2 linked regions of the Oryctolagus cuniculus genome follow. The protein of the gene in region 2 interacts with the protein of the main gene of each other region in a pairwise test. Links are inferred from orthologs where the notes say so. Each region holds a gene or a part of one and is shown on either strand. Other genes may lie near its edges.

Evidence for each region.
Region 1: the proteins of MCM3AP (region 2) and MCM3 interact in a two-hybrid assay, tested with the Homo sapiens proteins (2 studies listed by BioGRID). The link is inferred for Oryctolagus cuniculus from reciprocal best matches to the Homo sapiens genes MCM3AP and MCM3.

The regions. Positions count from the first base shown.
Region 1 is NC_091436.1:117,747,315-117,751,128, reverse strand, and holds part of MCM3 (DNA replication licensing factor MCM3), read right to left. Parts: intron 2,496-3,814; coding exon 2,321-2,495; intron 1,957-2,320; coding exon 1,830-1,956; intron 1,029-1,829; coding exon 878-1,028; intron 1-877. UniProt on the Homo sapiens protein: Acts as a component of the MCM2-7 complex (MCM complex) which is the replicative helicase essential for 'once per cell cycle' DNA replication initiation and elongation in eukaryotic cells.
Region 2 is NC_091435.1:642,977-646,790, reverse strand, and holds part of MCM3AP (germinal-center associated nuclear protein), read right to left. Parts: intron 1,330-3,814; coding exon 1,182-1,329; intron 1-1,181.

The sequences.
Region 1 (3,814 bases), on a different chromosome or scaffold from region 2:
GCTCCCAGGAGATAGCATGGGGCTAGAGTACAAGATCTGGGGTCATATCTAAGTTCCCAGAGTTCATGTCAGTGTCACATAAGCAGGGTTTTGAACTTGAGAGTCTTCCTGCTGTGATAATCTGCATGAACACCACTAACCTCAAAAGATTTAAATTTAAGGGCAGCGGTGTTAGGTTACTAGAGATCACTTTGGACAACAAGCATGCTTGCTCAACTCCTATTTGTCAAAGTCCAGCTTGAGCTTTACACTCTGCAAATCCTTCCTTCACATGCACACTCCCTCAGGGAAGTCTAAAGGAAAATATAGTTCTTTCTTTTTCTGTATTCTGTCTTTCACACTTGTTCCTTTGTACATGCCACCATGAGATAGTCATTTATAAATATGTATATGTGTTTTTCGTGATTACTTTTCAAAAAACAGTCATTCAATTGAAAAGCACAATGACAGAGAGAGGAAGAGACAGAGACACACAGAGCAAGGGATCATCCATCTGCTGTTTCCCACCCCAAATGCTTCCAAAAGCCAGGGTTGAGTCAGGCTGAAGCCAGGAGCCAGAAACTCCACAGAGGTCTCACAGGCTGGATGGCAGGAACCCAGGTACTTGGGTCATCATTCACTGCCTCCCAGGTGCATTAGCCAGAAGCTAGATCAGAAGCATAGAGTAGCCAGGACTTAAACCAGCCACTCCTAAATGGGGTCCTTATTCTATTTCACCTTGGAAAAGGAAATGACTAGAATTGTTCAACAGGATACCTTTTGGACAAGGAAGGAATTAAAACTAAAATGCTTTCAAAGATCCCAGGCAGCAGGGACTCCTGCCCTAGCTACAGAAGACCAAGGGACTCGCCGGTTCCATCCCCACTGGGGCACTCACCCTGGCAGTGTCTGAGCTCATGCTGTCCTGGCTGCGCAGACGCGAGTACTCCTCTGCAATGTAGGCAGCCGACTCCTGCGTCAGGACAGGCTTAATGATCTTGGCCACATGGATGTACTTCCTCATGAATGCTGCACTCACCATCTTCTCCCTGGAACCCCACACAGTGAATTCCACTTCCCTTCCACACCTTACTACCTGTCTGGCAGACTGCCTTCTGTCTCCTCAGAGAAGGCAAGGTCAAATGGTAGAGCAGAGATGGAGCCTAGAACCCATTATTATAACACCCATTTATTAGAAACATATAGTAGGTCCTTTCACTCAAGTCTATTCAACAATTTTTAGGTTTACCTGTGAGTTAATAGGAAGTTAAGTATTTTTTCCTCTATTTTATAGGATAAACTGTAACTCAGATGCTAAAGTAGACTCAAATTCAGTTTTGACTCCAAATTTGATATTCTTAAGCCAACAGTTTTGAATATCTTGCTTTGATTCTTATTGTACCATAGACAAAAACGGAAGCACGGGATCCCACATTTCATTCTCTGACCACTGAAAAATAAGACTACAAGTCTATTTGCAAAATGTCTAATGTTTGCTATGTACTGACCCTTTACCATAAATTCACCACAAATGGCTCCAAGACATGTGCAACTTTCCATGTACAAGGAAGACATATTCCTACCATTAATTGAGCATGTTGTCAAATGTATTTTAGGAAAAGATCTGAACCTGGGCTGAACCACCCAAGCATTTACAAGACAACTGGCCAAGATAAAGACTGTATCTGTGGACCCAGACAAGAAGAAAATCAGCCCCCATGACTGTGACTGCAAGCATGACCTTGGCCTAGCCTCTTAATGCCCTTACTAAGCTCAGCTGCACATGTGTTCTAACACAACATAAGGCAAATCTCACACTCCTTCGTGGGAGAGGCATGAAGGATACTCACTTTTTCTTCTTGGTCCCATGGAGGAGGTTGTCATGCTTCTCATAAATCTGAGTGTCCTGCTGGTCATCCTGGTTGAAGTCTGGATCATCTGTGGCCAGGATATCCACAGCACTACCCAAGGGCATAGCTGGTACGCCGCAGTTGGGAGAAAAGAGAGTAAGAGTTTAACTCAGGGGAAACTGCTCCTTCTATAGCCTAGACTAAGAGTCACAAAGCCAAGGACTCAGCTACATGGAACCCACAAATAAGGAGAATGCCATTGCCTGGGGCACACAACATGCTCAGAGGAACTCCCAGACCTAGAAAAGGACCAAAGGCACAACTCAGGATAACTTCCAGTGAGCAAACAGGGAGGTGGCTGGGTAGGTGAGGGCATCTTTAACATCACCCCAGACACTGAAACACCCACCACCACCTGGGCTGACGCAGAGATAATAATGCCTATTTGTGATTCCTTTCATCAGTCACTCTAACTCCTCTCATGGCCTCACCATCGCCATCCTGCTCTCCAGGGGCTCTGTAACGGTGCATCCGAAGGACATGATCTGAGATCTCCCGATCCTGCTCAGGATCCATCTGATCCAGCATGATGAAGAGCAAGTCAAATCGGGACAGCAGTGAGTCCTGTAGCCCAATGTTTTCCATTGGGGTCTTATATTGATCATACTGGGAAATACAAGAAAAAGTGATGTGGAGACAATATTAGCAGGAAGAAAACACAAAACCAGATTAATTATGGAAGCAGGAATAGAAGGCCAAGTCTTGAAGGAACACATAGGTAAGAAGCTATGAAAAAGTGAAGCATTTTAAAACTAAATTTGGGTCAAATAGCATTGCAAGTTAAACCACCACCTGGGATACCCACATTCCATATCAGAGTGCCTGGAAGTCAATCCTGCCTCCTCTTCCAACCCAGCCTTCTGCTAATGTGCACTCTAGAAGGCAGCAGATGATGGCCTGAGTACTTACGGTCCTACCAGCCACATGAAAGATGAAGATGGAGTTCCTGGCTCCTGGCTTCAGCCTGACACAGCACTGACAATTGTGAATATTTGAGGAGTGAATGGATGGAAATTTCTCTTGCTCTATCACCTTGCCCTTCAAATAAATAAACTTTGAAAAAAGACAAAAACAGTGAAAGAGAGAGAAAGGTCTTCCTTCCTTTGGTTCACCCCTCAAATGGCCGCCACAGCTGGAGCTACGCCAATCCGAAGCCAGGAGCCAGGTGCTTCTTCTTGGTCTCCCATGAAGTGCAGGTGCCCATGCACTTGGGCCATCCTCCACTGCCTTCCCGGGCCACAGCAGAGGGCTGGACTGGAAGAGGAGCAACCCGGACTAGAACCCGGCACCCATATGGGATGCCGGTGCTGCAGGCGGAGGATGAACCTAGTGAGCCATGGCACCAGCCCCCAAAAAGATAATTTTTAACAAGGAGATATATTTTCTGGCACATGCTTAAATTTTTTCTGAAACACTCCACACCTGTACTAATTACCTCTTAGGAAAGAGGTAGCAGACGGAAGGATTTCAATATTCATATTATATCTACTTAGAAATTCGCCTGCTATGAGCATGTAGTACTTTTGTTTTAATGACTACTCAGGTTATCTGAATTGTGAGACTGCAAATCAGTTTTGTTTTCTTCTTTGTACTTTCTTAAAATTATTTTTTAAAGATTTATATATTTTACTTGAACGTCACAGTTACACAGAGAGAAGGAGAGGAAGAGAGAGAGACAGACAGATAGAGGTCATCCATCCACTGGTTCACTCCCCAAATGGCTGCAACAGGCGGAGCTGTGCCAATTCAAAGCCAGGAGCCAGGAGCTTCTTCTGGGTCTCCCACATGGGTGCGGGGACCCAAAGACTTGGGCCATCTTCTACTGCTTTCCCAGGCCATAGTAGAGAGCTGGATCAGAAGTGGAGCAGCTGGCGCCCATATGGGATGTCAGCACTGCAGGTGGCAGCTTTACCCACTAAGCCACA
Region 2 (3,814 bases):
GGAAAACTCAACTCTAGAAGCCAACTCTGCGTGATGCCAAGGCTATGACACAATGCTCCACAAACAGAAGCCACCTTTGTTACACCTGTCCACGCCCTTAATGTATGCCAGCACATGGTTACAGGCTTCATTCAGTTCTTTTTTTAAAACATTTATTTATTTATTTGAAAGAGTTCACTGGTTCACTCCCCAATTGGCCACAACAGCCACAGCTGCGCTGATCCAAACCCAGGAGCCAGGATCTTCTTCCGGGTCTCCCACGCGGATGCAGGGGCCCAAGGACTTGGGCCGTTTTCTATTGCTTTCCCAAGCCATAGCAGAGAGCTGGCTCGGAAGTGGAGCAGCCAGGTCTCGAACCGGTGCCTGTATGGGATGCCGCACTGCAGGCTTTACCTGCTAGGCCACAGCACTGGCCCCTCATTCAGTTAAGCATGTTTCGGGGCCAGCATTGTGGCGCAGCAGGGTAAGATGCCACCTACAACACCGGCATTCATATGGGTGTCAATTTGAGTCCTGGCTGCTCCACTTCCAATCCAGGTTCCTAATTGGCTTGGAAAACAGCAGAGGATGGCTCAACTACTTGGGCACCTGCCATCCACAAGGAAGAGCAGGATAGAGTTCTAGGCTCATGACTTCAGCATGGCCCAGTGCTGAACATTGTAGCCATCTGGAGAGTAATCAGCAGATGGAACATCTCCCCCCGGCCCCCAACCTTGCCTTTCAAAGAAATAAATCTTCTGGGGGCTGGTGCTGTGGCTTAGTAGACTAAGCCTTCGCCTGCAGCACCACATCCAATATGGGTGCTGGTTTGAGTCCAGGTTGCTCTTCTTCTGATCCAGCTCCCTACAGATAGCCGGGGGAAGCAGCAGAAGTGCTTGGGCCTCTGCACGCATGTGGGAGACCGAGAAGCTCCTGCTTCAGATCGGCCCAGCTCCATTTAGGGAGTGAACCAGCAGATGGAAGACCTTTCTCTGTGTCTCTCCCTCTCTCTCTCTGTAACTTTCCCTCTCTAATAAATAAATAAATCTTTAAAAAAAAAAAAAAAAGCCTTACAATAGTATTAAGAAATGGCATAATTCAAGTTAATACTTTACTGGTCATCATAACATCAGATGATGAATTAAGACATTACATTTTTTCCCAGCCATTTTCTGTCTTTAATGAATGTGTTCAGGGCTCACCTGTGGGCTGGTGGCTACAGTTGTTTTCACCAGAGGCTCGATAGTCTGGGGGAGAGACACTAGAGTCTGAGGGAGGTAGAGAGGAAGTGAAGGCTCTCTAAACGCTCTCGAGTCGTCAGACAACCACCGCTGAAGTTGATTTTCAAACCTGAAACAGTGATCACAAATTCAGAAACATTTGAGTATTAGGAAGCAAAAAGTGAACTGTTATGCATTTTTCTTCTATACATACTTTTTTGTAAAGATTTATTTATTTATTTGAAAGGCAGCGTTTCACAGAGAAGGAGAGGCAGAGAGAGAGAAAGGTCTTCCATCCACTGGTTCACTCCCCAAATGGCCCCAATGGCCAGAGTTGGACCGATCCAAAGCCAGGCGCTTCCTCCGGGTCTCCCATGTGGGTGCAGGGGCCCAAAAACTTGGGCCATCTTCTACTGCTTTCCCAGGCCACAGCAGAGCCGGATCAGAAGTGGAGCAGCCAGGTCTTGAACCGGTGCCCATATGGGATGCCGGGACTGTAGGCAGTGGCTTTACCAGATATGCCACAGCACCAGCCCCTTTATGTACTTTCAATTTATATATAAGCTTTTGCTTTTTACTAAGAACAGAGCTTATGACATCAACTGAGAAGCAGAAATGTACTTTTTTTTTTTTTTTTTTTGACAGGCAGAGTGGACAGTGAGAGAGAGAGACAGAGAGAAAGGTCTTCCTTTCCCATTGGTTCGCCCTCCAATGGCCGCCGCGGCCGGCGCACCGCGCTGATCCGATGGCAGGAGCCAGGTGCTTCTCCTGGTCTCCCATGGGGTGCAGGGCCCAAGCACTTGGGCCATCTTCCACTGCACTCCCTGGCCACGGCAGAGAGCTGGCCTGGAAGAGGGGCAACCGGGACAGAATCCGGCGCCCCGACTGGGACTAGAACCCAGTTTGCCGGGGCTGCAAGGCGGAGAATTAGCCTAGTGAGCTGTGGTGCCGGCTCAACAAATGTACTTTTGAAAAATTCAATATCCTCTGAATATGTAAGTCCAATTAATATTTAATGAGAAATGTGACATTGACTTTAAAAAATACATTTATATTATACTTAATAATACCTATAATTTTCTCATTTGGCATATCTCTCTATTTGACTTACTTTGGTTTTATGCACTTAGAATTAGTTTTTTTCTTTTTTTTTGATAGTTACAGACAGTGAGAGAGAGACAGAGAGAAAGGTCATCCTTCCGTTGGTTCACTCCCCAAATGGCTGCCACGACCAGTGCTGCGCCAATCTGAAGCCAGGAGCCAGGTGCTTCTTCCTGGTCTCCCATGCAGGTGCAGGGGCCCAAACACTTGGGCCATCCTCCACTTTTGCCCTCCCAGGCCACAGCAGAGAGCTGGACTGGAAGAGGAGCAACCAGGACTAGAACCCAGCGCCCATATGGGATGCCGGCGCCGCAGGCAGAAGATTAACCAAGTGAGCCACGGCGCTGGCTCAGTTTTTCTCTCTTGATGGATTATTCAAATATATGGACTGTTCACAGTTTAAAATTAACTCTACATCCTAGTGCTACCCTAACACTCTCCAGAGCTGTCTACCTTGATATACTTGTCTTTTCAAGAAAAAAATTAATCTCATCCCAAGCCACTTAAAACTCTTCAGAACTAGGTAAATACACTTTTAGAAATCATGATACATTCTTTCACTTTTTCAACACATATTTATCAAGCCTCAACCAGATGCTGGGTACCATTCTATGTACCAAAGATAACAGCACTGAAACATTCAAAACAGAAAAGACTCAGACCTACTCCGCTTGTTCTTATGGGAGACAGAAAAAGAACATATAACAGGGAAATGGCAAAGAAACCAAGGCCATTGAGACAGGAGGGACACAGAGACGAGTCAGGGGCGCCTGAGAGGCAGACAACTAAGCAGAGACCTGAAGTGAGTATGACGTCAGCCCCATGGATGCTGGGGTGGCAGGCGGAGCTGAGGAACACAGGCAAAAGGAATGGCCAACTCAAAGGGAACAGCAGACAAAGGTCTAGCCACAGGATGTCTAATGACAAGAGGTCAGAGGAGATGGCCTTGGCCATCTAAATAGAGCTTGCCTTTGAATCCAGGTGAACAAGAAGGCCACTAAAAGGCTGTACACAAAGGAATGTGACCTCTTACACTTGAGAAGCTAGGTCTGCTGAGGCAACTACAGTTACTGTAATAGTCCAGAAGCAAGATGACTGTGGCCTGAGCCAGGTGGTGGCAATGGAAGTCATAGAAATGGACCAATTCTGAATACATTTTTCATACCGCCAATAGGTTCTGTGGATAGACTGGATGTGGGGGAATGATCTGAGGCATTTCACAGGTGCACCTGGGAAAATGGCGCTGCCATCAATCAAGGAAGACCACTGGAGGAGATGGTTGAGGGGAAATCAGGAATTAGATATGGGACATGCTGACACTGTAGTGGCTATCAGACATCCAACAGATGTCTAGTGGTGATTTTAAAAAAGCAGTAGGACATTCCAGTAGAATGAATTCCAGAATTCAGAGGGCTCAGGGTTTAAGGCATAAACTGGGAAGTGTCAAAATACTGATGTGATTTAAAAATCCAGGAAACCAGATGAAGTCACCAGAGACTGAGTGCAGTAGATAC